Linked DNA regions of Notamacropus eugenii. The protein of the gene in region 3 interacts with the protein of the main gene of each other region in a pairwise test. Links are inferred from orthologs where the notes say so. Each region holds a gene or a part of one and is shown on either strand. Other genes may lie near its edges.

Region 1 (10,428 bases), on a different chromosome or scaffold from region 3:
GATGAAACATGCTGCCCACTTCCTCATACCTGAAAGACTCAGAATGCAGAACAAAACATACACACACAAATCTATATATAGATGTGCCTAATGAAATACATAAACAGAGAGATATAAATAGATAGATAGATATATGTATATGCATTCTTTTCCTTGACTGTGTATAACTATATGTTTCTAAGAGGAATTTTATTCTTTTATTCTCAAGTGGTAGGTAAGAGGGACTTTTTGCTGTTGGAAAAAAATTAATTTTAATAATTCTAAGAAAACAGAAACTCCACTAACTAGCCTTATTTGACAAACAGAAAAACCTAGTTTCTAATATCAAAAAATTAAAATGGAGAAACCATATCCAATGAAAAAATAAACCACTAGAAAAGATTTTCCCAATCATATACCAATCAAACTGGTAATTTAAAAAATCAGTATTTACAGAAACATAAAATATCCAGATTAGCAAAACAAGAAATCAAATTTTAAATAATCCCATCTCAGAAAAATAAATTGAACAATAAATCTGAAAGAAAAAAAGATCAGATGAATTTACAAGTAAATTCTATCAAACATTCAAAAAATAATTAATTCCATCATTACAAAATATGTTTTCTAACTTATGAAAAGAAGGGATTCCATCAAATTCCTTCAGTGCTAGAAATATGATCTTTAGATCTAAACTATGGAAAGAAAGTTATTCACCATTATCCCTAATGAATATTGACGCAGATATTAAGTATTCAAAATACAGTGAATAAAATATTAGCAAAGAGGTATGGCAACATATTGCAAAATTATATACTGTAACTAAGTTAAATTTATACCACTAATCTGTGATTAGTGCAATAGAAAACCTAAACACACTGTGCTAAAATAATTCTTTTATAGTTTAGAAAGATATACAGAAAGTGCTTTTGAAAAGTAATTGTTTCTTTTCAAATTTTAGACATCACTGGAAAGCTTGGATACAAATCTTTCCTTAACATTTCCAAACTAAGCACCAATGCTATAGGTATAGAAAAAATGTTAGAGACCTTTCCAGAAGCCTAACAAAGTCATTCTAAATCAAGTGGTTTTTACCACAATAAGCTACAAATTGATGCATGACATATACTATCACGTATACACATATGATAGGTCAGTATAGTCATGCCATAAACAAATTAAAGGACCTAGGGAGGAGACACCTTTCACAATTAGGGATTACTAGGAATAGGGGATGAGTTCAAGTTCCTGATGACACAGGCCACAGGAGATAAAATGGATAATTTTGATTACTTGAAATTCAACATTTTCTGGACAAATGAAATCAAGGCAAGTAAAATCTGAAGGGAAATAGTTTTGTGGAAAAAAATCTTTGTAACAAATTTCTTTAATATAAGTGTTCTATTGGAGATATATAAGGAATTGATTCAAATATATGAGAACAAGAGGCATTCTCCAATATATAAATTGTGAAAATGCAAGAATGGTTTTTTAAAAAAGAAATACAAGCTATTAACAGATATGTGAAAAAATACTCCAAATCACTAATAATTATAGAAAATAAATTAAAACAAGCTCAGAACTAGTAGATTGACAACTATGACAAAAAAAGGAAAATGGCAATTGTTGGAGTATCTGTGGCAGGACAAACACACCAATTCACTCTTGTGAATTATACAAATACAAAGCAATTAAATACAAAGCAATTGGAAGTATGCCCTCAAATTCACTAAAGTTAATCCTGTGTTTGCTTTCTCCTTAACATCTCCCATAATGTAAATTTTAAAAATAAAATTAAAGCACAAGTTTATGCTGATTTTCTTGGAAGATACTGACAGCAGTGTCCCCTCCAACATCAACAAATGAGATTTTCAGTCTTCAGACACTGGAAAGATTAAACATGTTAAAAGGTGACTTTTACAAGGAGTTTCTAGGGGCTTTTGTTGAAGTACATTAGCAAGATGTACAGTACTCAGCAGTTCCCAGGTTGAGGCAGATCCCCAGGGTAAGCCAAATTGAAGTTACTTCTGCCTTAGTTCCCTCCACGCAGGCAGGAGGGGATATCCACCTACGCAACATCTGTTCCTAAGGCAACAGCAGTTTTACCACCTATGCAATGACTCTGGTTGTTACACTGAGATGAGGTGACACACAGGGATGAGGTGATGTGGTTAGAAGCTAATTCTAGTTCATCAATATTCCATTTACACTAGACATATTTGCAGCAACCACCCACCCAAAAAAAGATTCCAGGATCTAGGGAGCTCTAACCCCAGCTGATCTTTCTAAGCCAACCGCATGCGCGGTCACATTTTCCTCTGCTTGGCGGATTTACACTGCCACTTCCCAATGGGTCTGTGTGAGCATAAAGTCTTGCATCTAGTGCATCCACCAAATTAAAACAAACATCTCATCCTTGCAGATGTTTTTCACCATTGGCTAGGAGCACTGATTCTACCTGCAACTAAGCGCGTTCCACTGGAAAACTGACCACAGCCCTAATCTGCAGGCCAACTTGTGCAGGTAGTGAGATGACCTTGAACATTATTGTCCCTCAGACCATCCACTTAGTTTTCCCAGTCCCTCTTCTGAAGCATTCAGTTCCCTACTGAATTTTAAAGGGCACCATATCTCCTGCAATGCACCAGACAAAGCAAGAAAATAGTCCCCCGCACTGCCCCTCCTGACCATAAGGTCTGAATGAGGTGTATTATGTCTGAAAGAGGGGAACACCCTAGTGTAAACAGACACCCTAGTACAGATGGAAGGAGTGCAATTGTGGCTCGGGACGGGGAAGGAGTACTGGGGGAGGGGGGGGGGGCGGTGTGATGGAGGAGATTTAGTAAGACTCACCTTGTGCAGTTTCCACATAGCCCCCAAAGCCTTGACTTCATGACTAGAGTGTTTTCCCTCTTCTAAACACTGGTAACACACGGGTATCTTGCACTGGACGCAATACATACTGTGGTTTTCCAGCTCGTGATCTGTGCAGGTGGAAATTTTGCGGGGACTCAGCCTCCGACTAACTCGGCCTTGGGCTGGGGGCACCAGTCGGTGTTTAGCCAGAGGTCCCCTAGGCGGGTGGCATCTGAGCCGACATGGGTCGCAATAGAAAACATCGCACTGTTCGCACATTACTGTAGCCTCCTTGGGCGCCTTTTCACAGAGCTGGCACTTGAGGGCCGCAGCTTTACTCTGCTGATAGCGATCGATGACCCCTTCCAGAACGCGGTTTTTAGGAAAGCCGCGCAAGCCCCGGTCATCTAGGATCAGACTACGGTGGCACTGTGGACAAGTGATGCAGGAGTTGCGAGGCACTGGGGCCAGAGATGCTGACAAGTGGGCCGCAGGGGGTGGCATGGCCGGGGGAAACACTCGGACTCCATTCGGAGACTTCTGGCAGGGAGTGGTGGGGGCACTGGCGAAACCTGCATAGGAGCCGTAGCCGCTGTCCGCTTCGCTGTACAGACTCATCTTATCCATGTCCAGATAGTCATAATCAGAGACCCCAGAACCCGAGGCCCGACGGCTCTGGGGTGACTCAGACTCCGGGGTCTGAACTAGGATATTGCGGGCACACGCTTGGCACAAATTGTGAGAGCAAGGCAGAATGATAGGCTCTCGATAGAAAGAACCGCACACCGGACATTTTAACTCCTCTTCCATTTCTTCCATAGGAGGGCTGGGCTGATAAACCAAGCGGCGACAGACTGGTGCCTCAAACCTGTAGTCCCCGCTAGTTAACAGGCTAGATTTGGCCAGCACCTTGGCCTGCAGCAACAGCAGTAACAGCGGTAAAAGCAGAGAGTTGCCTTCCGATTTCCCTGGTTACAGCAGTCTGTCACTCTGGCTAGCAGAAAACTGAGCCAGACAGCCTGGACCTCCTCTCCTCCGGCCAATTGGGGGAATGAGAGTGGGTCGAGACCTACCATTGGCTCCGGTCCCTTTCAGTCAACTTGCCTCCGCAGATAGCAAGGGATTGGGGGAGCAGGCAGGGAGGTGGGGGTTGGGGGATGTTGATGAACTAAGGAGTCTGCGCTTCAGCACCCTATAGAGTACGGTAGTGTTGGGAAACAATTCGCTATTCTTGCGTTCCAGTCTTCCCTACCGTCTACATGGGCAAGGGGTGTGAGAAAACACTTCCAGATGACAGGTGACTTTCTCCAAAGGTTATTCTGACAAAAGATTCTCCCTCGACCCATTCTCCCCTTTCCCCTTACCAAGAATGCTTCCTTTCTATGACCTTTCCACTGTAGCAGCTCTCCAAGAATACTATGTAAGCCATTTCTTCCCTGTCTTCTGCCCATAACCAAGCTGCTCATTTCCCAGCAGGGGCAGAAGTGAACTGAGCTTTGGATTTTTTTTTTTTTTTACCTTAGGTCTTAAACTTTCCGTTTCAGTCCTTAAAAGGTTTCTGGTTCGTCTTTCTCAATTCCATTTTTCATTCAATCAATTTGAAAGGGTCCTCTGTTTCTCCACACTGCATTATGTAGCATGATGGTCTCATAGGAACATGAGGTCTTTAAGTTCAATGAGGGAGAAAAGTGAAGTCAACAGAGACCAAGGACAGACAAAAATAAGTGGTTGTTTGAGGAGCAGCATACCAGGGAGACAGAGGGACACTTTTTAATATCACTCTTCTTATCAATGCACATTTTTATTTTTATAGTTTATTTGTAATATTTTACATTTTGAGCTCCAAATTCTCTCCCTCTCTCCAAATCCTCTCATCCACTGAGAAGGCAAGCAATATATCCATGTGAGGTCATGCAAAACATTTCCATATTAGCTATGTTGGGGAAAAAAAATATAAAGTGAAAAATATATACTTCAGTCTGTATTCAGAGTTCATGAGGATTCTTTGAAACTCGATAGCTTTTTTCAACATGAGTCCTTTGGAATTGTCTTGCATCATTACATTCATGAGAGTAATTATATTTCACAGTTGCTCATCCTTAAAATAGTGTTGTTACTATATGCAACGTTCTCCTGATTTTGCTCACTTCACTTTGCATCATTCCATATAAGACTTCTTAGTTTTTTCTCAAATCATTCTGCATCTCATAATACAATAGCTTTCCATCACAATCATATACCCTTACTTGTTTAGCCATTCCCCAAATGATGGACCTCCTCTCAATTTCTAATTGTTTGCCAGCACCAAGGGAGCTGCCATAAACATTTTGTACATATGAGTCATTTTCCTTTTTCTGTGATCTCTTTGGGATATAGGTCTAAAAGTAGTATTGCTGAGTCAAATGGTATGCACAGATTTATTACCCATTAGGCATAGTTCCAAATTATTCTCCAAAACACAACTCCATCAGTTCCCTATTTTTCCATATCCTCACCAGTATTTATCATTTTCCTTTTCAGTCATGTTAGCTGATCTGATAGATGTGAGGCAAACTTTGGAGTTATTTTAATTTGTATTTCTCTAAAATTTCTCAATAGTGATTTGGATCATTTTTATGTGACTATGAAGAGCTTTGATTTTTTTCTGAAAACTACCTATTCATATCCTTTAACCATTTATCAATTAGATAATAGCTTATTTTTATAAATATGTGTTAGTTCCATATACATTTGAGAATTGAGATCTTTACTAGAGAAACTTGCTGTAAAAATTCCACCCTTCCCTAGTTTCCTGCTTTCTTTCTAATTTTGTTTCCATTGGTTTTCTTTGTACAAAACCTTTTTTATTTCATGTAATCAAAATTATTCATTTTACTTTTTTGTGATCCTCTTTATCTCTTTTTTGTTCCTAAACTTTTCCCTTAGCCATAGAACTGACAGGTAAATTTCTCCATGTTCCCTAATTTATTTATGATATCACTCTTTAGCCTAAATCATGTACCCATTTTCACCTTTTCTTGGTATGCTGTGTAAGATGTTGGCCTATGTCTACTTTCTTCCAAACTACTTTCCATTTTCCCCAGCAATTTTTGTCGAATAGTTTCATAGAGCTTGGATCTTTGGGTTGGCTTATCAAACACTAGATTATTATGATCATTTACTACTGTATATTGTATACCTAAACAATTCCACTCATCCAGCAGTCTATTTCTTAGCCAGTACCAGATTATTTTCATGGTTATTGTTCTGTTAAATAGTTTGAAACCTACTATGGCTGGGCTACCTTCCTTAACATTTTTCATTGATCTTCTTTCATGATCTTTTGTTCTTCCAGGTGAATTGTTACTATTTTTTCTAGCTCTATAAAATAATTTTTGGTAGCTTGGTTGGTATGCCACTGAATGAGCAAATTAATTTAGGTAGAATTGTCATTTTCATTATATTGACTTGGTCTGCCCATGAGCAATTAATATTTCTCTAATTGTTTAGATATCTCTCCTTGTCTAAAAAGTATTTTTTGTTCTTATATTCATTGCATATGCTTTGGCAGGTAGACTCCCAATCATTATTATTTTATGTAGAATTATAATTATATTTTTATTTTTTATTATATATTATATTACATTTTATTATATATTATATTGCATTACATATTATGACACAATATATAATATAGTTATATATTATATTATTTTACATATAATTTCTCTTTTTATCTCCTCCTGCTGGGTAATACATAGAAATGTAGATGATTTAGGTGGGTTTATTTTATATCCTGCAAATTTCTTAAAGTTGTTCATTCTTTCAACTAGCTTTTTCATTGATTTTTTAGGATTCACTAAGTATCCCGTTGTACCATCTGCAAAGAGTAGAAGTTTTGTTTCTGCATTACCGACTACTATTCCTGAAATTTCTTTTTCTTTTCTTATTGCGATAATTGTGATTTCTAGTACAATATTGTAAGGTAGTAATAATGAATATCCTTGTTTCACCCTTAATCTTATTGGGGAGGCTCCTACCTGATTGCAATTACAAATAATGTTTGCTCTTAGTTTTATATTTTTAAGAAAAGCTCTGTTTATTTCTGAGTTTTCTTGTGTTTCTCATAGGAATGAATATTGTATTTTGTCAAAATTTTTCTGCATCTATTCATATGGTTTTTGTTGTTGATATGGTCAGCTTATAGTTTTTCTATTTTGAATGAGTCCTGCATTCCTGGTATAAATCCCACATTGTCATCATTTATCATCTTTCAGCTATGTTGCTTTAATTTCTTTGTTAGTATTTTATTCAATTTTTTTTGTATCAAAATTCATTAGGGAAATCAGCCTATATTTTCTTTCTTTGTTTCTGCTTTCCCTGGTTTAGGTATCATAACCATATTTGTGTCTTAAAAATAATTTGGTAAGACTCCTTTTTTAATCTCTTTTGTCAAAAAGTTCATGTAGCATTGGCATTAATTGTTCCTTAAATGTTTGGTAAAATTCACTTGTAAATTCATCTGGTCCTGGGAATCTTTTCTTAGAGAGTTTATTGATGTTCAATTTCTTTTTCTAAGATAGGGTTATTTAGGGTTATTTAAGAACTTATTCCTCTTCTATTAATCTAGGCAATGTATATTTTTTGTAAATATTCATCCATCTCACATAGATTGTCAGTTTTATTGGCATATAATTGGGCAAAATAACTCCTAATAATTGTTTTGATTTCATCTTCATTGGTGGTGCATTCACCCTTTTCATTTTTGATACTGGTGATTTGGTTGTCTTCTTTCTTTTTTTAAGTTAAATTAATTGATTGTTTTATTGGGTTTTCTCCTAAAACTAGCTCCTCATTTTATTTATTAGTTTAATATTTTTAAATTTCATTTTTATTCATCTCTCCTTTGACTGTCAGAATTTCCATTTTGGTTTTTAATTGGGGATTTCTAATTTGTTGGGGGCTTTAGTTGTCCTTTTCATTAATCTGATCTTTATCTCTTTTATTGATATACACATTTAGAGATTGGTTTTCTCCTAAGCATTGCTTCAGCTGTATCCCACAAATATTGGTATATGAGTTCATTTTTGTCATTATCTTTCATGATATTATTATTTCTATGATTTTTTCTTTAACTCAGTCATTCTTTAGGATTATCCTATTTGCTTTCCAATTAATTTTTAATTTGCACTTCCATGCTTTTTAATGAATATAATTTTGATTGTATTGTGGTTTGAAAGAGGTGCATTTAATATTTTCTGCTTTTCTGCATTTGTACATGAAGTTTTTATGCCTCTTACCCAGTTAATTTTCATGAAGGTTCCATGTATACCATTTGACCAATTCTGTTTTTTAAGACATTATTTTCTTCAGTATTTTTATATCTCTTTTACCAAGCTATTATCTTTTTGTAGGGATTATTTTTTTTTGAATTTTCCTCATTTCTTCTCCCAGTTGCCCACTAATACTCTTATTTGATTTCCAAAATAACTTTTAACTCTTCCAGGAATTTTTATTGAATTCATGTCCAATTTGCATTTTTTTCCTTTGAGGCTTTGCTTGTAGTTGTTTTGACATAGTTGTCTTCTTCTGAGTTTGTGTCTTTTTATGATTAGGTTCTTTTTTGTTTGTTTACTTACTTTCCCAGCCTATTTCTTGATTTTACACTTCATATTAAAGTTGGACTCCTCACCTAGGGATAAATGGAGGCACTATCTCAAACTTCAGGCATTTTCACGCTACTGGTTTTAGAGCAATTTTGGGGAGTTTGGAAGTTTTCAGTGCTCCCAAGGTGGTATGATCTGGGGAGAGGTATGGTCCGCTGGTCTTTGCTCTAGTACTTACAGAAGTAGAGTCTCTAATCAATCCTTTGTAGTTAGAAATGCTGTCACTGTTCAAGGCCCCTGCTCTCTTTTGACTAAAAGTGCTAGTATTTCTCTCCACCTTGAAACTGCAACCCAGAAATGGAGTTGGACAATGGAATTGCCAAATAGTGTCCCATGCTGTGTCCAGTGCTAGCACACAGGGGTTACCTACAATCTCTTTCTGACTAGCTGACCAATTCCTTTACCATTTCTGGGCTGAGAGCTCTGGACACTGCTGCTGCTGGTCTTGTTGCCACCACCAAGTTCCACAGCTGGTGTGCTGCTATAGGTGTTCCAGACAACCCCAGTGTTCCTCCTGAACTTCCTCAGTTGTCTTGTGTTGGGGAAAAGAGTCTCACCCTGACCTTTTGTTAGCTCTGCTGCTCCAGAATTCAATTTGAAATGTTATTTTAGAGTTGTTTGGAGAGGAATGTTGAGAATTCTTCTGTAGTGCTTCTTCTGCTCTGCCATCTTTACTCTGCCTACACTTTCTTAATGCATGTTTTTAATATCAAGTTATCTCATCTTCCAAGATGTGGAGTGATAGATCAAGTCATTCTTTTCTTCATACCAATTGTTGCTCTTGACAGCCATATCTGTTTCAGTGGGGAAAATTCATGGTTCTTAGTAGTTGTCTTGTTAAATTAAAAAAAGGGAAGCACATAATAGCTGTCTCATTGAAAATTAGAAAATTATACTTTTTATAATATTAACATCAAAGTAATCATTGAGAAAAAGAGTCTATCTTTCTGTTTCAGTCTGAACATTTAACACAATGTTATTGATTACTATATGTAGGAAAAAATCTCCATCTAATAGTGTGACAATTTATAAGGAAAATTGAATCCATATCTTTATGTATATAAATATGAACATTCATTATCATGTTTTAACTCATAAGTGTAAAAAGTTGATGAGTTTTAATTCATTGACACATGATAGTGATTTGAAATAAACTATATGGCTGTACTAATATTTGTAGATAGATTAATTTATAGCAACTAACACAAAGGAAAAACAGACATGGTTATACCTAATAAACGCAGAAAAGATCAATCCTTATAATCATTTTCTTTATAATAAAATTTTCATTTTCTTAAGTCAAGTTAGACAAAAACAAGTGAAGCAGACATGTATAATCCAGTATCTTCATTTCCTGAAATTCATTTCAGTGAAATCCAGTTCAGTGGAGAGTAGAAGCAAATCAATATTTCCAAAACATCTTACACTCTGGAGCAGTTCTCTAAATAGCCCTAGCACTGGGTCACCCAGTACCTGAATTGTCATTGCTATGCAATAAAGGTAGCTAACTGATTAAGCTGCTCATGGAACCTAGTTACATCTATGAAATGAAGTTTAAACAGCATTAGGATACATTCTGTTTGTAGCCTACTTTTTCTTTGAAAATTTATTGATAACTAGCAGCTTAACAAAGAAAAAAAATGGAAAGAAGTGGTAACACAATCCAAAATGTTTTAGAAATGCTAATTTCTTATAGGAACCATATGAGACAAATGCTCCAATTAATTTTTTAACAGTTTCCTTGGTCATGATATACTTATATTCAGAGCAGTTATGAGAGCAGGGTAATTGGAGTTTTTATCTAGGGTAGTAACATCTGGAATGGGGGGGAGCAGGGAGGGCTGGTAAATGTTTCGCAATTGAAGTATAACACACTTTTAAGTCTAATTTGCTTATTAACTTTTTAAAATTTATTTTCTTAAGTCTAGACAATCAACAAAACAAAACA
Region 2 (10,409 bases), on a different chromosome or scaffold from region 3:
TCTGTCAGTTTCATGATGGCATGCTTTCCTGAATTCTGCATAATGGAAGATGCTCTCATGCTTTCCCAGTAATCCAATGAAGTGAAGCAGGATTGTGTGCTTGTTCCCATGCTTTTTAGCATGGTGTTTTCATGGATGTGGTTGATGGCCTTCAATGAAGATGAAAATAGCATCAAAGTCAGCTACTACACTGATAGTAAATTATTTAACTTGGAAAGGCCACATGCCAATACTAAAATGGAAGGAGAGGTGGTGTGTGACTTTTTGTTCACAGATTGTGCACTCAGTGTAGGCTCTGAATCTGAGAAGCAACAAAGTATGGATTAATTCTCTGCTACTTGTACTAATTTTGGCCTAACAATTGACTTAAAAAAACCCAGAGAGTCTCCATCAATCAGCACTAAATCATACATATTTGGGACCATCAGTTACAGCAAATGGAGAAGTTTAGAATTCTATGGATAAGATACCTTGGCAATATACTTTCCAGGGATGCACATATAGATGATGAATTTGACATAGTGATAGCTCAGTGTTTGGGAGGCTCCTAAGAAAAGTGTGAGAGAGAAGAAATATTAGACTGCCTACCAAACTGAAGGTCTACAGAGCCATAGTGCTGACCTCTTCAACCTCATTATTGTATGCCTGTGAAACCTGGACAGTATACCAGTGCCATGCCAAGAAACTAAATTACTTCCATTTGAATTGTCTTAGGATGATTCTGAAGATCACCTGACAGGATAAGGTATCAGACACCCAGATCCTTTCTCAAGTTGAACTATTACACATTCAAACTCTGTTTCTAAGAGCATAACTCCAATGGGCTGACCACTTCGTTCAAATGCTAAAAGTAGTTTTGCCTATAGGTCAATTTTATGGAGAACTCACACAAAGCAAGCACTAACATGGAAGTCAGAAGAATCATACAAGGACATTCTCAAGATCTCTCTGAAGAACTTCGGAATCAATTGTGAGACATAGGTGACACTGGCACAGGACTGCCCAGAATGGCATGCTGGAATGAAAGAAGGTGCTATGCTCTATGAATGAAGCATAATTGCAGTAGCTCAAAAGAAATGTGAAATACACAAATTTGGAGACATCTCCATTCCAAATGTTCATGTGGACTTTTTGTGCCCAACCTGTGATAGGGCCTTCTGACTCATATTGTTCTGATTAACCATAGGCAGATACACTGTACCTTGACCCCAAGATAATGATATCATTTTGGTCCTCATGCATGAAAGACCCCATTTTTACATCTATGAATGTATGTATACGTATATATATATACACATACATACATATATATATACACTTACATACATACATATACTTGTATATATATGTAAAAATGGATAGAGAGAGGGTGAGAGAGATTCATTTAGAGGGAGTCCAAATTCCTTTCTATTATTAATATCTTCCCTTTTGATTCATTTGCTTGTGCTCAAGGTCTTTTAACTGAGTTTTCTTCCTCTTATGATCTTTTGTATTCCACTATCGTTTACTTTCTGACTCCTTTCCCTTTGAGTTTTCTTGCTTGCGGCCTCATTCTCTAACCTAGGGTTCCCTGAGGGACAGAACTGGTCACAATTATATACCAGGGCACTTTCCTTTAAACTTGGAGGAGCCCCACACATTTTGGTACCCTGTCTTAGTTACTTTTGTCTCTTAGTTCTTTGATTGAGCGATGTCACCGCATAGCAAGCTGCGTGCCACTTTCGTAGGCAGAGAAAGTTTCTGGCTTTTGGTTTTAATCAATGCAGGGAAAAGAGTAGAGCTAATTAAGTTCTGTTGCAAGCTCAAGTATTACCTTGTGCAGCCCTGCCAGAATATGGTAGCCTGGAATGGGGGTGGGGTTGGGATGGGGAAAAGGTGCTGAGTGAGACTCTTAGGGATTAGCCTCTGTTGTTTCTTCATCAGGTTATTACCTTATTAGGGTTCTTGGTGTCTTAGACCATGGAGACAGCTGAAAGTCACTTATCTCTTACATATAGTTCCTATTTTGGAGAGGTTTATGAGGATTGGAGGAAGTATTTAGTCTTCTGTTTTGTTGGTCATGTTACTCAGAAGTCCTGCTTTTTCTATTTCTATTATAAGCTCAAAACAGTGCTTAAGAAGATCAAAAACGGGAAAAGCAGATGGATTATAGAAGAGCTTGTGCTGAATATTGAACAATTGTGGTGCCATTGGTGGACTAATTACATTGCATCTAAAGAAGATACTAAAAATGTAGGGGGAAAATCTTGGACTTTATTAATACTGAAAAAAGCAACCAAGAGACCATCAGAAACTAATCACCTATATACCTACTCTCCCATTTATACAAAATCCTTTTGAAAATCACCTATATAGTAATTGAGAGCATCCTTAACAAGGGTATTCAGGTAGGGAAATGACTTTTAGAAGCAATCTTCAGCTATGGACCACACCTTTACTATTTCAAAATGAAAGATTAGAGAATGTTAAGGTCCCATTTTACCCATTATTTGTTAATTATAAAAAAAACAACAACATTTGATTCATATGAACAAAATGCTTCCTTGTATGCTTTTTTACAACAAAATATCTCCCATCCATACATTTGTAAAAATATATTCACTAAAGACTGTCCTTCAAGGAAATCTCAAGAAATAATATAATGACAAGATCCTGGTTTGTTGGCTAGTTGGTTGTTGTTCTTCATTCTTGAAGAGGACCAAAATGACGTCACTATGCTAGAGTCAAGTTACAGTGTGTCCAACTATGGCTGATCAGACCAATAGGAGCTCAAAATGTTCTACCACTGAATGGGCACAAATACGTTATGTGAACATTTGGGGTGAATTCTCTAAATCTGCGCATCTCACGTTTCTTTTGAGCTATTTCAATTCTTCTTTGCTCATAGAGCCCTGCACCTACTCTGATGAGGGCAGGCCATGCTGAACGGTCCTGTGCCAGTAGATCCCATGTCACACAATCAATGCCAAAGTTCTTAAGGACACCCTGAGATTGTCCTTGTAATGTTCTTCTGACCACCATGTGAACCTTTGCCCTATGTGAGTTCTCCATAAAATAGTCTTTTTGGCAAGTGTTCGTTTTGCATTTGAAGAAATTCTGAAGATCACCTGGCAGGATCCTAGCCTAAAAGAGGCAGTTAGATAGCAGAGCAGCTCTAGAGACCTGGACCTGAGGTCCGGAAGACTTATCTTCCTGAATTCAAATCTGGCCTCAGACACTTACTAGCTGTATGACCCTGGACAATTCACTTAACCCTGTTTGCTGTAGGTATTCATCTGTAAAATCAGCTGGAGAAGATTTTGGCAAACCACTTCAGTATCTTTGCCAACAAAACCCAAATAAGGTCTTGAAGAATTAGACCTGGTCTAAAGTCCTTGGCCTCTCCTTAACGAAAAACAAAATAAAACTTATTGGTCTCCCTGCTTTTGAAGGTGTGGTCAATGCAAAGGAATAAACACCCTATTCCAAAGTTCTTGGTTTCATTCTTATCAAAGATCTAATTGAGTCAATCAAATTTAGGAAGGAAACCTGAAACCTTGAAACTAAGATTAGGTTGGTGACCAAACTAGGAGCTTGAATATCTTTGTGTGTGTGTGTGTGTGTGTGTGTGTGTGTGTGTGTGTGTGTGTGTGTGTGTGTGTGTATGTATGTATATAAATATATACATATGAAATAAACATATAAAGAACTTTGAAAGAAAGGCATTCAGATGACTGGGGGAGTGGGATATACCTTTGCCCTTTCTCCCCTTCCATTCATTTGTATATGGGACCAAAAAGAACCTTGAGGTTGAGAAAATCAGGGAACTTTTGCTGAGAGGGAAGTCTTTAAAGTATTTCTGAAGTGGTGATGCTTGGCAGTTGGAATATAAACAGATGTTATAAGGGTTTTCTGATCCTAAATTAGATAGAAGTTTGGAAGAGACCTTGCTTTTGGTGAAGTTTGGGTTGAAAAATAGATTTAATGCCTTGTGTGTGTTCATCCTTCGTTGCCATCAGAGAAATAACGACATGACTTGCACTTGACTTTGTTTTGAGTGAGGAAGGGCTGTGTAGGTCACCAACCTCACTTCTCCTCCAGACCCCTCTGAATCCAGTGACCAGATATTCATCAGGATGACTGGAGATGACCCAGAATGAGGCAGTTGGGGTTAAGTGACTTGCCCAAGGTCACACAGCTAGTGAGTGTCAAGCGTCTGAGATGAGATTTGAACTCAGGTCTTCCTGACTCCTGCACTGGTACTCTATGCACTGCACCACCCAGCTGCCCCTTAATGTTTTGTGGGCAAAAATTAGCTAACTATTTTGTAAATCAAAAGGACTTTGCCTCTGAAAGAAAATCTTTGTCTCTGAAGAGGAAAGTCTATATCATGACCATGACTCTGAATACTACCAAACTAATCAATGGGAAGGAAAACAATTAGCAGTGATGTGATGTGATGGCTCTGCATTTCTAAAAGATGTGAAGCCTTTGGACTTTAAGCTAAAAGAGTCATGGTGGAGAGCCCACCCCTCTCCTTCTTACAGCAAGAGATAACACACTTCAGCTGATGATTCTAGCTGGTTAGAAATTAGTAATAGAACAAAGCTATCCAATCTTGTATCTGGTGGATCCATATTTGGCAGGAACCATGTAGACCAACAGAAGACCATATAGCAGAAGCCAAGCAAGATCAGTGGGGAGTATTCCTAGGTGGAGCAGCATGGTAACATCTCCAGAAGACATCAGCAGCCCTAGGTTTCAAAGGTGTGAGTTGCCCATCCCTGGGTATACCCTGCGAATAAGTGTTTTCTACATATGTGCCCCTCCATACATGTTTCCTAGTTGTAGTTCACCTCTTCCAGTGATGGTGTGTGTTTATAGAAGAGTGTTATTCAGTTTTATGGGGGAATTATTCTAACGTTATTTCTTCTTATGAGGCTAATTCATTAAATGCCTTTGCATTCATCTACTGTTGTCTGCTCACTAACTAGTAACAATTAACAAATTAGGGGATAATGAACTATGATCTGAGTGGATGTGGACTCTGAGTACCGGAGACCCAATTGTGAGTGGGGTACTGAGGTGTTACCTTAGTATTATATAATTCTTGTACATAACATAGCCTGTGTAGCTTATAAGCAACTTGAGGTCAGTGTTTGTATTGGTTTTCATCTTTGAAATCCAGTGTCTTGCGTTGCATAGATACTTAATAAATACATTTAAATTGACTTTTTATTAAATTGATGAGGAAGGTAGTGGAAATGAAAATAAGGGAGCATGTAGGAGAGGTAGAAGGAGCTTAGAATGTGAAATACTTGAACACAGAAACAGTCCCTTTTGCTTGTACAGTAGTTGTATCCTATATTGCTTAGCACAGGACCTGGCACATGATAAGTACTGAATAAATGCCAATTGACTTGATACTCTTCAAAAGAAGAAAGTACAGCATTTGATAATGAGGGATAGACTACAGATGCTTACAGCACTGGAAGTCCCCATCCACCACTTACTTACTAGGTGTTTGTGGAGGAAAAAGTGAGGCTGGTGACCTTGCATAGCACTCCCTCACTCGAATCAAAGTCAACTGCAAGTCAGGTCATCATTTCCCTGATGTCATGGTCCTCTTCGAAAATGAAGGACAAGCACAATAACTTAGGTGTATGACCCTAGACAAGGTATTTACTACCCTTATGGCCTAAAGACTCTTCCTCTTTAAAAAGAGGGGTTGAAGTAGATCTAAGGTCCCTTTCATTTATAGTTTTCTTATTCAATGACGCTAGTTAGGTTTTCTTTCTGGCGGAGGGGGGGTAGGAGTGTGGGGGTGTGTGGAGAGATGCACCCAAACTGAATTGGTTTTGGCTTTTGTGTGTGTAAAAATACCTTTCTGACCTCTCCATATTCTCCCCCCAAACCTTCAATAACTGAAAAGACCACACCCACCTCCACTTCCCTTCAGTTTCAGGCCAGCCCAGTGCATGCCTCTAGCAATTCTGAGTCTTAAATTCACTAGCCCAGAGGGGCTTTTGGGGTGGAGCTCTGGCTAACCCGGAGCTGCTGAAAAGACGTATTTTGAACTCGTAGCTCAAGAGCTAGAAACCTTTCCTGGACCCCTAGGGAAATAGGGTCTGGTGATTTAGCAGTCCTTCCTCATTTCACTGCCCCGGCGCCCTCGGTCCCCCCATTGAAACGTGTGGATTTTGTCTAAGCGTGTACGTGTTGGCGGCGGCCGTGGGGAGAGGGTGGGAGGTGTGTTTAGTGGCTAGGAGCGGGTCTACGTCCTTTCTCCCTAGAGTCTAGACCCAGAGCAGGCGGTAGGCGGGAATTCTTGGGGACCTGGGTGGAGGAGGAGAACGGGGGGCGGGGAGACAGGGCTGGGGGGGCTAAGAGAACAGCTGGTTTGGACTGGAAGACCAAGTCAGGGGCAAAGGCTGGATCTGCTCCTTCGGCCCCCAGCCCGACTTTGGCCGCACAAAGCCGAACGGGGGTGGGAGGTGAGGATGGGGGTGGGATGGGGGGAACTGGGACAGTGAGTCAGACCTCCGGGAAGGAGGAGGGGGCCGCTGTGTGTTGGGGGGAGGTCAGGAAATGACATCAGCGGAGCGTGTTTTGGGAGGGCCGGCCCGTCTCTGACTCTGTAGCCCGCGGGGAGGTTTGCTGGGAGGAGGATCTTCTCTGCTTTCCCTGGTCCTGGGCGTGATCTGGGCCCCTTCCTGGGGGAGTTTCCTGCTCTCCCACCCCCCAGCCCAGCCCAGCCACCTCGTCTCCCCAGTTCTCCCCGCCTCCTGGCTCCAGATCTCCCCGCCTCCTCTCTGGGCCGCTCCTTGTATGGTCTCCCTGCCTCTGTGTCTCCCCGCCCTCCTTCCCCCCAGTCAGAAGCCGCTCGGGACGCCCGGACGGACGGAGTCACAGCTGGGCTGGACGTCGCACTGACCACTGTTCCTTCGTGCTGGCGGAATAGACGGGCCGAGCCCCGCGGTGAGAGAGGATGGGGTAGAGGGGACAGGCGGCCCCGGCCGCAAGTTCAGGGTGGGGGGTGGGGGGGGCCTGCGGGCCCTTCCCTGTCCCGGGGCTGGGGGCTCCAGAGCGGGCGGGGAGAGCCATCCATTCATCCTTCTGTCCATGGTAACTGCGGCCCTTCCTCCAGCCCAGCCTCCGCATGGCGGCCCCCCGGCCCCCCCCTGTCATCTCCGTCTCGGTCTCGGCGCCCGCCTTCTATGCCCCGCAGAAGAAGTTTGCCCCGGTCGTGGCCCCCAAACCCAAAGTGAACCCTTTCCGGGCCGGGGCTTCGGAGAACCCGCCAGGGCCCGGGGCCCAGAGGGCTCAGATGGGCAAGGTGGGGGAGATTCCTCCCCCACCCCCGGAAGGTAAGGACTTTGTGGGGGGATGTCTGGAAGCCAAGGGGTGCAAGGGATCGAGGAGCTTGTGTGGGTAGGGGTGGGGAGGTGGAGAGGGTATCGGGCCACTCGGTCTGAGCAGATGTTCTTACCTCATCTTGCAGCCCGTGGCCCCGAGCCAGGACTCCTGGGTCCATTTCAAATTCCTGGCCCGGGGGTGGGTGTGAGCGAGAATGTGTGTGGGGCATGGCTCTTTGAGTTTGCTTGTTAAACTGAAAGGGGGAGTGAGTTCCCTTCTCAGCAGGACTTCCTGACTTAAAACATACCTTCTTAATGGAAAGAGATCTCTTTATGGGGTACTGGGATACCCAGGACTTCAGAGGCCTGAACAGGATGCCCAGTAAACCTTAGGTCTTACCTCATTCCTTACAGGCCCTCCCAGTACAACTGGAGGAGGGCCTTGTTGATGAATCTCTTTCTCCTGCCTCTAGATTTCCCTCTGCCACCACCTCCATTGCTACCTGGGGATGATGGAGAGGCTTCTTTGGGAGGGCCCTTTCCGCCACCCCCTCCTCCATTTGAGGAGCCATTCCCCCCTGCTCCAGAAGAAGAGACATTCCCTTCCCCTCCACCTCCTCTGGAAGAAGAAGTGGGGGTTGAACCTCCAGCACCAGCCCATCAGGTGAGTGAAGGGAAAAGAGCACTGGGCTGAAATGGATACTCCATAAAAGGGCTATAGAAGGAGGCCTACTGTTTCTGCCTGGCTTTCTCCACTTATGGGCAGGGAAATATTCAGTGGGGGCAGGGAACTTTAGGAAACTTCCATATAGCCCTATAGGCTGTGTAGGATTGAATATCCTTGGGGGAGGGGAGTCCTGAAACTCAGTGTACGATGTATAAAGAAGTCTGCCTGGGTCCTCAAATTCTTTACTCCTCAGCCTAGAGGAAAGGTGAGCAGCATTGACCTGGAGATGGATTCTCTGTCCTCCCTTTTGGATGACATGGCCCGGAATGATCCCTTCAAGCCCAGGGTGAGGGATGGGGTAGGGAAAGTGGGGGAGGTCAGGAATGTATGTGTGTGTTTGGGGGCTGTGTCTTTGTAGATAAAGTGAACCTACATAGGTGTGTGTGTGTGTGTGTGTGTGTGTGTGTGTGTGTGTGTGTGTGTGTGTGTGTGTGTGTGTGTGTGTATTTGTGTGTGTAGATAAAGTGAACCTGCATAGGTGTGTGTGGGGGGGCTGTGTCTTTGTAGATAAACACAGTGAACCTACATAGGGGTGTGTGTGTGATAGGATAGACAACACCTTCTTCTAACTTAGTTCTCCCCCTAACTCCTCTCCCCTGCAGGTTTCATCTGGATCTGTGCCTCCCCCAGCTGCCCCCCAATTCCCTCCCAAGCCTAAAGTCCCATCTGCAGCTTCTGGCACAGCACCTCTTCCTCCTTGGCTGGCTCCTACTAGCCCTCCTCAGTCCCACTCTGTATCTGTGTCTAAGACCTTAACCACACAGCCTCGAGGTCCCCCAGCTCCAGCTCCACCAGTGGCTCCAGCTCCACCAGTGGCTCCACCTCCAGCTGTAGCTCCATCTGCAGTTCCACCCCCACCCCCAGCCCCTACCTCTACCCCCAAGTTTAATGCTGTGGCCCCCAAGTTCACTCCTGTGACCCCTAAGTTTAGTCCTCCAGCACCTGGGGGTCCCCCTCACAAGAAGGTGGGTCCTTCACCCCCCACTGCTGCAGGGTCCCCTCAACAGCCTCAGCCTCCCAGCTTCACCTATGCTCAACAGAGAGAGAAGCCCCGTGTGCAGGAGAAACAACGTCCCGTCCCGCCTCCTGCCCAGGACCAGGTGAGGGGAAACTACAGGGGTCTGAAAATAGGAGCAAGAGGAGAGGCTAAGCATAAAGTCAGAGCTTTCTGGAACCCAAAGTTAGAATGAGAGTGGGTGAATTTCTTCTGTGTGGAGTAGTGAGGCAACCAAAGTGAAGAAGGGAAACAGCACCTCCAGAGGAGGGACCTGGAAGGGTCTGGGTGTTTGGGTGGGGTAGGGTTGGGAGTGGGTAAGTAAAAGCACTAAATTTAGAGAGGCCTGAATGCTTAGTGTTTTAGTGGGGCTCTGAACTAAGTTGCTTTACTCTGGGCCTGAACTCAAGACTTCATCTCTAGGTCAACATTTAGATACTTTTCCACTTAGTCCTTTTTGAGTTCTTCCCCTTTAACAATGGGAGGCTAAAGGAGGCTGATCAACTGACTTTCTCTTATCAGCTGTCCGCTTTGTTTCCTGAAAGAGCATTACTCACTTTGTGGGGGTTGGCCTGGGCCTTGGGAGCTTTCTAGCAATAGCATCATTATTATCAACATTTATTAAGTAGCTACTAAGGTAATGTGCCACATGCCAGAGATTGTTAGTAAATAAGACGTGGGCTGTTTTTGAGAGGATGCCCATCTAGTTGGGGAGAACAGGATGCATACATAAAAATGCTTAGCTCATACTTTCTGTCCTGTGTCAAATAGTATGGAAAATAAATCTGGAATGGAGAGAAATTCCCCAGGGCTGAGCCATTTGGGGAAGCCTTCATGAAAGAAGTAGAACCAGAGCTGAGCATTGAAGGAAGGATAGAACTTAGGTGGAAAGGAAGGTGAGGGCATCCTGAGCTCTAGGGAATGGGAATATGGGGCAGAGTGAATAGTGAGAGGAAAAGCATGGATGTAGGAATGTGTGTGAAATGTTACAGGAACAGGTTGGCTTTGAATTTAGCTAGATTGGAAAGTTATTAGCTTTGGGGAGTAGTGGGAGATAAGTTTGGAACAGTTGGTAGGGGACTGATTAGATGTTCAACCTTTCTAATATTTTTCTGTAGGCAAAGGGAAGGTTTTTGATATGTGCGAAATAACATTTTAGGAAGATTGATTGAGAAGACATTCATAGGATAGGTTGTGGGGAGAGACTTGTTAGGAGACTGTTGTGTTATTTCAGGATTGAGGTACCTAGCAGGGCAGTGGGAAAGAAGGGGAGGATGGAGGTGAGAAATAAGAATTAACAGGTGCTGGTGACTTGATATGGGAGGAGTGGGAGGGATGACTTCAAGGCTTTCAG
Region 3 (9,583 bases):
CTCTCTCTCCCTCTCCTCCCTTCCCCACCCCTCCCAGTAGCCCAATTGCTGGCTTTGGAGTCAGAAGACCTGGCTAGGTTCTGATGACTACAGTGTGACCCTAGGGTAAGGTCATTTAACCCCTCTGTGCCTCAGTAAAAACCAAGGGGTTAGATTGGCTGGTCTTGGAGATTCCTCCCAGCTCTGGGTCTGTAATCCCTCTCCTAGTACTTTGTCTTATTATACAGAAGTCCTTCCCATTTGGAGGTAGAAGTGTCCAAGGAGAAGGTAGCTGATCACCTGGACAGATCACGCTGGAGAGGAGATTCCTATATGAGGACCAAGTTTGAACTAGATGAGCCCCACATCCTGAGAGGTGAAGAATTAGAATCCAACATTCAGTATGACTGGGGGGCTCATAGACATAGAAAATCAAAGAGGAGGAAATTCCCCAATGCCTGAATGCCCCACTCCCTGGTAACTACCCTGTAGGCTCCAGTGTCTGTGACCTGGAGGAAGCCAGCCAGTAGGCACTCAAGCTGGACTGAGAAACAAACCCTGTGACTTTCCATCCTGTTACCCGCCCCCTCAAATAACCCCCAGGAAGTTGGAGGCCCTTAGCCACGCCCAGTTTCTTGAGGTAACAGCAGCTACAATTTCCCCAGGGCCCTGTTTTACTGGGTGCTTTCCTCACCAGGACCCCAGTGAATCTAGTGGATTAATTACCCTTGTTTTACAGATGAGGAAAGTGAGACCCACAGAGGTTAAGCCACTTGCCCAAGGTCACAGGGCTATTGTGGCTGGGATTTCAACCCAGGCCTATCAAAACCAAGTTCTAAAGTGTTCTTTCCACTTGGCTCTCCCACTGAGGTGAAAAGGATCCTGGAAATCTAGGGAAGACCCTAGGTAGGGAGGAAGGGAGAATATGGATAAGACAGGTCTCTGTGCATCACAGCATCACAGGCTTCAAAGCAGTAAGGAACTTTAGAGGTCATTTGGGCCAATTCCCCTCTTTACAGATGTGAGGAAGCAAGAAACAGCGACTCTCTGAGGTGGCAGATGTCACAGACTCTCTGTGTCCTGGACTCCTTGACACCAAGTGGCCTCTCTCTAATCTTTATTAGCTTGGTTTCAAGCTTTATCTCTGCTTGTGGCTTCCTGTGTAGCTTGGGGCAAGTCCCTGGGCCTCAGTTTGTACGTCTGCAAAGTGGTGTTGGGAATAGGTCTGCGTGCTGTTACTCTCTAAGGCTCCTGAGCTATACCTTCAATTTTCAGGCCTTGGATTGAGGGGAGGGAGAAGTCAAGCTAGAGAAGCAGGGTGAAAGGGGGAGAGCAGCTTTAGCCCTGGCCTTTTACGGTCTCTGGGAGCTAGGGTTGGCGGGGGTGGGGGGTGGGGGGGGCTGCGGGGAGGCGGGGACTCGGACGTCCGCCTTCTCCTCAATCCTCTCCACCTCTTGTACCAGGGACCGGAAAAGGGGGGAGGAGGAGGGACCTGGGGCAGGAGGTAGGGCGGAGAATGGAAAGGGGAGGGGTCCCGTGCTCCTCCCCTGACTCCCATGAAGGAAGGAAGGCTGAATGGAGACTTATAAGGAGCCAGGACCGAACTCTAAAAGGCGGAGGGGGGAAGGGGAAATGTTTCTGTCTTATTGGTGCTGAGAGGGGGAGCTGGCCAGTTAGAAACACTAATCTCACCCATAGGCTCCCGGGGAGGGGGGTCATTCGGAATCCCCTTACATACTGTTGCCCCAGGGTCTTAACCCCCAACTTTCCCTGGGTATCTCTTCCTCTTCTCCCTGGGATCTAGAAGTTGGGGCTAGGGATGGAGAGGTGATCGGACCTTTAAAATGTTTCGCATTTGAGCCTCTGAACCATAGAATATAAGACTTTAGAACAAACGGGAGATCAGGTTGATAGAACGTGACAGCTAGAACGCTTAGAACATTCCACGAAGTCTTTCCTGCCGCCGATTCCCCCCATATCCCCACGCCTCAGCTGACCCCCCCTTTCAACCCCCTTAGCCCGGAAAAGTGGTGAAACCGAAGGAAATTGGTATCATAGTCAAACTGTCCCACTACCCCACAGACTTCCGGCCACCGCTGGGGAGTGGGGGGAATGGGAGGGAGGAAATTCCCTTTCCATCCCTTCCCTGTCTCCAGATTAACCCTACAGCCTCAGGAAATTAATAGGAGGTTAATGAATTAAATTGCAGCAGAGCTGGTGTGGTGGGACTGTGGCCTGGCAGGAGTTAAAGTCACTTGGAGCTAAATTCTGGGGTTTGAACCCCAGTTTCGGCAGAAGGGGGTAGGGTGGGGGCTGTCCGGAAATCCCAGGGCTGGAAAAGCGATAGCATTGTAGCAGCGGCTCCCAGGGGATTGGAAAAGGACTCGTTCCTCAACATCTCTCTCCCTAGCTCAGGTATCTGTCTTCTCGGTACTCCAGGAGGGTGGTCCTCTCATAAGCAAGTTATAAGTCGAGAGGTTTCTTTTGCGAGGGGCCTGTCACTTTATTTTCCCTCTCATACATAACACATCTATGAAAACCCCTAGCATCTAGATCCCCTGTGGGTGTGCAGCTCTCCCCTCCCCCCAACCAGGTGCCCTCTCCCTTCCCCGTTCACCCCACCCCCCCAACAAGGAACATGGGTTAAGAATCCCTCCCTCTTGGACAGGTGAGTCCCAGGAGACAAAAGCCGCCTCTGCCCCTCCTCCATCTCTCCAGCAGTTGGTTTCCTTCCCAGGGGAATCTGGGGGAGGGGTCAGGGGTGGAGACTCTGGGGAAAGGCTGATTACCCCTCTGGATAACTTCCCTAACACCCCCTCCCCTCAAGATATAGCGGAAGGGGAATGTAAACAAGAGACCTCTTCCCTCCGGGAAACTCAGTTGTGTGTGTGGGGAGAGTCGGGGGTGGAGACAGGTAATGCTTCACCCCAGCTCTAAGGGTCTATCTAAGCCTTCTCTAAGCAGGAGGGACGGCTAAGAATTAAGAGCTTCAACAGCCCTGATGTGAGGACTCAAGGATCAAACCCCAGAAAAGTTAGGGCTCAGCGTCCCTGGAGGCAGGGCAGAGAGACTTTCCAGTACATAAATAAGGACTCGTCGGCAAACTGAGGACTATAGAGCGTGAAGGGGTTTGGTTTCCAAAGGTCAAAGGGGTGGTTGGACCTCTCATCCTTCCTTTCCCCCAGTGCATCTCATTCTCTTCACAGGCTTACAGGCGGGGCGAGGTTTTGGAAACCCCACATTTGGGGTGGGGGGAGTATAGTTAGAGACTGACCCGGGTCGACTCTAGAATCGGAGGGGAGGCAAGAGAGCATCATTCACCGCCCAGGTTTGGGGGGGGGGGTGTATAAGGTGTCAGCTTCGTTTTGAAGGGGCCCAAGACAAAACTTGCTGCCTCTCAAAAAGCCAAACCAGACCAAAGCAAAAACCACTGTGTGGTTAACGGATCTCGGAACTCCTGGAAACAGGACAGTGGAAGAAACAATCGGAACCTCACAGAAGAAAGCCTGGCACGGGAAGGGGCAACGGTCTGGTCATCATCCTTCCTTTTCCCAAGGAGTCCCTGGACACCACACCCCTCTCCCCTCCCCCGCCTAGTCTCCAGAACGGTAGGGTTCAGGGGGAGTCCTTTCAAAAGTTGTGGAGGGCTGGTTAAGGGGGATCCCCAAAAATACTTCTTGTAGCGAAGGGGAAAAGAGGTCCGCCCCTCGCCTCCCCTTCCCTTCCTTTCCCAGAGCCCTGGGTTCCCCCAACCTTCTCTCTCCCTCCCTGTAACCAGCCACAGGGTTACGCTGAGGAGGCGGCCTCCCTGGATCCCGGCAGCGTCCCCAGGCCCAAAGCACCCTCCCCACCAAAGTCTCCCGGCTTCCAGACCCCGCCCTAGTATCTCTCACCTCATGGCGGGGCTCTCGAGGGGCGGTCTGGGCCGCACTGGGCTCCCGGGCTCCGGGGTACACCCGGAGGCTCCGGGGAAGGGGCAGGGCAGGGGGGCCCGGAGCTCTGGTCAGATCTGGGGCCGGACCCGCCCCGTGGAGGGCTGTAGCTTCCTCCTCGAGGGGGAGGGGGAGGGGGCAATGGGGGGGCGGGGACTCGGTCTGGGTCCCGCCCCCTTCTTAGTTGGGGGTGCTCGGGCCCTCCCCCTGCCCCCGCCCCCTGCCTTGTGCTGCCCCTCCCGGTCAGATGCGCCCGCCTGGCCAACGCAGCCGCTGCTGCAGCTGCCCGCTGCTAGAACGTTACGCTTTTTCTCCTGTGGTTACATTTCATTCCAAGATTCCAACCTGCTTCCTCAACTACCCCCCTTTTTCCCCCCCCAGCCCATTCCGCTCCGCACAGTCGGGGCGCCCACAATGCCTCGCGCCTTAAAGGTTCCGGCCGTCCGGTAGCCCGGCCCGCTGCCCCTTGCACTTCTCCTTGGTGGCTCCCCATCCACACCGGTCAATCTCCCTTCCCCACACTTTTTTTGGGTATGGGTGCCCGGGGGGGTCCAGAGATCAATCAACTGTAGATAGATCCACTCCCCCATCCCCCTCCCTCCCTTCCCTTCACCTGACCTGAGCCAGCCCCGCCCCCACTCCTCTGGGGAAGGTGAGGAGGAGGAAGTAGGTGTGGACCGGGATGACTAAGAGACAGACTGAGAGACAAGCGAGGGCGAAGAAGGGCGGGACGCCGGGGTTCCATCTTCAGCCCTTCCCCCCATCCAGTGTGCCTCGGTTTCCCCCTCTACCCTTGTTAAATACACAAACTGCCAGTTAGAAGACGAAAAAGAAGTAGTGAGTTTGCGTTCATTCCCTCCTGCTCTGGCCTGCTGGGAGTTCCCTGGGGGTTCGGAGTTCCCCATCTTTATAAAGACTGAGTGCAGAGGACTCTGGGAGAAAAGTCTCGAATTGTCAGGCGGAAGGTTTGGGTTCTATCGCCGATGCACTAGATGACTTCAAGCAGTTCCCTGCCCCTCTCTGGACCTCAGGATCATCTCTTCGTGAGCAAAATCAGTCAGGTCACGAGCATTTATTCAGCACCTACTGTGTGCCAGGCACTGAGTCAGTGCTTTAAGCTGGTGACCTCCCCCATCATTCCATAGTCCATATTTTAAGAGCCCTTCCAGGTCTGTCCCGAGTTCTTAGCCAGGAGATCATGAGAGTGAGCAGTGGACACCCTCAAAGCTCAAGAAAGGAAAACTTTCCCAAAGTAATGAATGACCTCAGGGATGAAGCTACTGACCTCCCCAAACCCTTCTTCCATAGAACCTCTTCCAGCTCCCCCTTTTCCCAGGAACTTAGAGTGCCCACTATGTTCAAGATCCTATATTGGACCCTAAGGATATATACATCTCCTGTGCTTCAATACCTCAAGGGATATGGTTTCACCCCTGCAAGTCCTTGCTCCAGGTACACAGCTCACAATCCTCTCCATAGTGAGGACTGTTTTCCTGACCTTGTGGCTGAGGTGGTCATGAATCTCTCCAAACTGACCTACTCTGGTCCTCAGGCAGCAGGCCTCTTCATTCCCTTTTCCACTTTTTACCGGGTAGGAAACTCTCTGACCAGAATGCAGTTTCCTTATGATGACCCCAGAACTTAGCACAGTCCCTGGACTTTAGGAGACATTTACTGAATACCTCTTCATGCCAGAGATCTGTTTCCTTTGGTCCACAAGTTTCTGCTAGCTGATCATTCTGTAGAGTGCTGAGTGGGCATTTGGGGAATATTGAATGCTGTCTTCTCTCTAAGGGGAAGGGGGGTGGGTAGGCAGGGATTTAAACATTTATCATGCCTAGCACTGTACTAAGTGCTTTGCAGATGTCTCATTTGATCCTCACAAGAACCCTGTGAGGTGGAGGCTGTTATTATCTTCATTTTACAGTTGAGGAAACTGAGGCAAACTGAAGTTAAGGATTAAGTGGCTGGCCCAGAGTCATGTAGCTAGTTAGATAGATTTGATCTCATCTTTCTGACTTCAGATCCAGTGATCTATCTACTCTAATATCTAGCTGCCTCTCTAAGATAGAGAAGTCAAGATTCTAATCCTAGCTATGACCCTAACTTGCTGCATGACCTTTAGTAAATCTTTTCCCCTCTCTGGACTCTAAGAAAACCAAAATTCTTCACCTGATTCTGAGTCCTAGGATTCCCTCCCCTGTACCTTTTTAAAGGGTTCACATTTCTCCTCCTTTCAAATGTTCTAACTTCAGGGGAACTTGAAAAAGGGGAAGTCCCCTCCTTATCCTTAATCATATTTATTTCCACAAGACTGGTCAGTCTCATGGTGGGGGGAGGTGGGTAGCTAAGTAAGTTTTCCTCTGCTCCAGTCCTCAGCAGTCAGGGAGCCTAGGGAAGAGTCACTCCCTTATAAACATTTATTAAGTACCTAAGTGCTGGGAAGACAGAAAGGGAAAAGAGACTTTTCTCAAGGAGTTCACAGTCTAAGGTGGTTAACAGCAAGATTCTGCTTCAGGGCTGCTGACCTTGGTTATGAAGAAACTTAGGGCTTTCTCTTCCCTTCCAGGATCACGTTGTTCCAGGCCAAGGGGCTCTGGGGGAGGGTGGGAAAGGGAAGACTGGAGGTAGAAGGAACCTCTGAAGTGTCCAAATGTGAACACTTCCTCATTTAGGCTTTGCACATAGGAAGTGGTCAATAAAAATTTCTTGGCCAACTTTCTACTGTCCTAAAATTCTATGCCTCTGAGATCTTATGAATCTATCAATCTAAGGTCCTAAAGTCTAAGATTCTGTTCAATTAAACAAACACTAAGTGCCCACTATGTTCCAGACCAAGGGGCTCTGAGGGAATTACAACTTCATGGATTCAAACATTTCAAGGGAGGTAATTTTAGCACTGTGAGTCCTAGCTCTAGGCACACAGCTCATAAACCCCTCTATATAACTTCAGTAGAGTCATCCTCATCACTTTGTGGTCAAGCTGCTAATGAACCTCTCTAAATTGAGCTAGGCTTGACAAAGGCAGGAAATAGGGGCTACATTAATTGACTCGGACAACAGAACTTCAATCTATGATCTACACACAACACTATTCAACCTTTCCAGCTTGGTAGAGAATTCTAGAGACCAAGTGCCTTCAAAAACCCAGAGGAACCTACATGCCATGATGGGCCATCAGAGGCAGACTGGAGTGTAAATCTCACCTCCAAACCCTACTAGCCTTGTGATCTTGGGGCAACTACTTGATCTCTCTTTGTCTTGGTTTCATTTGGATGATGGGTTAGACTGGGTGACTTCTAAAGTTCCTTCCAGCTCTAAATCTATGATACTATGATTTAAAAAAAAATGAAATGATTCACTTCCTACCCTCAAAGAGTTTACTTACATTCTAATATGTGATAGAAGTAAGAATCAGAAGGTAGGGCGTGTTGTGAGATCAATGGAAAGAAAACGACAAAATAGGAAGATGATACAAGGAATCGGAATACTTTCAGCTGGGGAGAACTGAGATCATGGAAGCCTTTTAGAGGAAGTATTATCTGAGGGGAGTCATGGTAAGTCTCAGGTAAACATAAAGGCTTAAAATTCTATTTTGACTTAAGAAAGTACAGTTCTAAGAGTCTCTGACTTAAAGAGTCTATTATTCTAGCTGAATAAGATTCTGACTCAGAATCAACCTTTCTCCTGGAGTCAAAGATCTAGAGGCAGAAGGGACCTCAGAAGCCATTTAGCTCACTCTCTCATTTTACAAATGGAGGAACTGAGACTTAAGGAGGTGAAATGATTTGTATAAGATGTACAGGGGCAGGATTTGAAGGTGGGTCATGTGACTCCCAATTCAGGGCTTTTTAGCATATTGACTCCCTCACAACATGATCAGAGACCTCCCGCTGGACCTCACCTAGAACTTTGTCCTTTTCTCCTGCGTTTATCAGGCGGTGTTGAAGATTAAAGTTATCTCCCTAGTAAACAGTAAGCTCCGTTAAGGCAGGGACCTGGATCTTATTTGAACGTGATATTTTCCCTAGCGCCTAGTGCAATTCCCTGGGCATCCTATTAGGCCCCGAATAAAAGTTTAACCAATGAATGAAAGTGTGTAAGCTCCCCCTGGCGGCTCACTCTGGTTCACACCACATTCAGTCTTCCCAGGCTTCCCAAGCTGGTGCTCGATGCCACGCCTCTCGAGATCCCCGAGCCCCTCCCACACCCAGAATGGTGAGTTTCAGAAGGCTTAGGAGCTGGCAAAACTTCTCTCCAGTTGTGTCCTCCGCCCTTCTGTCAGGATCCCCTCCCCTCCCTGAGCCTCTCCTCCTCCCACCTAGTCCAGCCCTAGCACGGTTTCCTAGTATTTTTTTCCCATTTTCTCCCTAGTTTGGCTTCAGGCTCCTCCAGTGCACGCCCCTAGGCAGGCCCCCCCTCCCTCCCCGGCTTATGCTCCACCCCCTCAGGGCCCGCCCCTTCCCCCACCCCTTCCAGACTCGCGCAGGCTCCTTATTTTCCCCAGTCCCCTCGCCCGTCTGTAAACTCGCGCAGGCGCGCTTGCTCACGCCCCCCAGCCCAAGCCCCGCCTCCGGCCCGGGGCTCGTGCTGCAGTCCCCCCACCCCCTTCTCTTCGCTCCCCTCGGTCCCAGCTCGGGGCCCCGCCCGCCCAGACCCCGAGGAGAGGGAGGGAGGGAGGCGGCGACGGTCTGCGGATGGCGGCGGCTGGGGCGGTGCCGGGGCGATGAGCACGAGGGGCCCCGGGCCCTGGGCGGCGCGGCCGGAGCGGGCCCGGGCGGGGCCATGGGCCAGGTGCTGCCAGTCTTCGCCCACTGCAGTGAGTCCCCCCAGTCCCTGGGGTAGGGGTGCCAATTCTAGAAGGGAGGGGATTCCCGGGGTTGATGGGGTAAGGACAAAGAAAGAATCCCCATCCCACAGCCAACTAATGTAGCTCTCCATGGGCCTCAGTTTCCCCCCTTTGTCAAATGAAAGGATTAGACTCGATGATCTCTAAGCGCCTTCCATTTTTAAACAGAACGGGCTATTGAGAGCCAGGCCCAGCCAGTAGAACGGAAAGGGACCGAGGGAGACCTGGCGAGACCCGGAGCTGTCCCCGAGCCGTGGTGCTGATCCTAGGGAAAGGCCTAGGATAAATGGGGGAGGGGAAGACTGCCATTCCCCGCCCCATCCCTCCCCCTTCTCCCTTTCCCAGGACTCCCTGGGACTAATCCCGGGCCACCGTCTCTAAGGGGCAGTCTCCTCCGCCCACACCTTTCCAGCTTTAGACAAGTGCAAGCATACACACACATACACACACACACACACACACACACACACACACACACACACACACACACATCAACACCGCCTCCCCTCGTCTTTCCTGATAGATTTGGAATTAATTTTTCTAGTATAGAGAAGGAAGTGTCAGATGCTTCCCACCTCTATCCCCTTTGCCAGTACAGAGACATCCAACGAACTGGATTCTGGTCCGGGATCAGTCTTTCCTTAAGAGTGCAACCTTGGGCAAACCTTCCTATGTAGGATTCCGTCTCCCGTCTATAAAATTGGAGAGGATCAGACGGTATCTAAAGTCCTTAACTATTCTGACATTCTGCTTTCTAGTCTCACTTCTGCACAAGGATTCTTAAAGGCTAAGATGCTGTGATTCTAAGGTTCTCAAAGTTTAA

Evidence for each region. The genes of interacting proteins can lie anywhere in the genome.
Region 1: the proteins of VASP (region 3) and TRIM9 interact in binary tests that used the Homo sapiens proteins (3 or more experiments, as listed by UniProt). The two-hybrid records come from large-scale screens. The link is inferred for Notamacropus eugenii from reciprocal best matches to the Homo sapiens genes VASP and TRIM9.
Region 2: the proteins of VASP (region 3) and ZYX interact in binary tests that used the Homo sapiens proteins (3 or more experiments, as listed by UniProt). The link is inferred for Notamacropus eugenii from reciprocal best matches to the Homo sapiens genes VASP and ZYX.

What each region holds. Positions count from the first base shown.
Region 1 is NC_092872.1:334,231,327-334,241,754, forward strand, and holds the start of TRIM9 (E3 ubiquitin-protein ligase TRIM9), read right to left. Parts: upstream 3,952-10,428; 5' UTR 3,655-3,951; coding exon 2,833-3,654; intron 1-2,832. UniProt on the Homo sapiens protein: E3 ubiquitin-protein ligase which ubiquitinates itself in cooperation with an E2 enzyme UBE2D2/UBC4 and serves as a targeting signal for proteasomal degradation.
Region 2 is NC_092874.1:104,910,833-104,921,241, reverse strand, and holds the start of ZYX (zyxin), read left to right. Parts: upstream 1-6,458; 5' UTR 6,459-6,473; intron 6,474-6,851; 5' UTR 6,852-6,957; intron 6,958-7,126; 5' UTR 7,127-7,138; coding exon 7,139-7,346; intron 7,347-7,807; coding exon 7,808-7,998; intron 7,999-8,254; coding exon 8,255-8,347; intron 8,348-8,663; coding exon 8,664-9,161; intron 9,162-10,409. UniProt on the Homo sapiens protein: Adhesion plaque protein. Binds alpha-actinin and the CRP protein. Important for targeting TES and ENA/VASP family members to focal adhesions and for the formation of actin-rich structures.
Region 3 is NW_027325105.1:116,985-126,567, reverse strand, and holds the start of VASP (vasodilator-stimulated phosphoprotein), read right to left. Parts: upstream 4,014-9,583; 5' UTR 3,878-4,013; coding exon 3,873-3,877; intron 1-3,872. Other genes in the region: RTN2 (reticulon-2), read left to right, coding at 8,697-8,730. UniProt on the Homo sapiens protein: Ena/VASP proteins are actin-associated proteins involved in a range of processes dependent on cytoskeleton remodeling and cell polarity such as axon guidance, lamellipodial and filopodial dynamics, platelet activation and cell migration.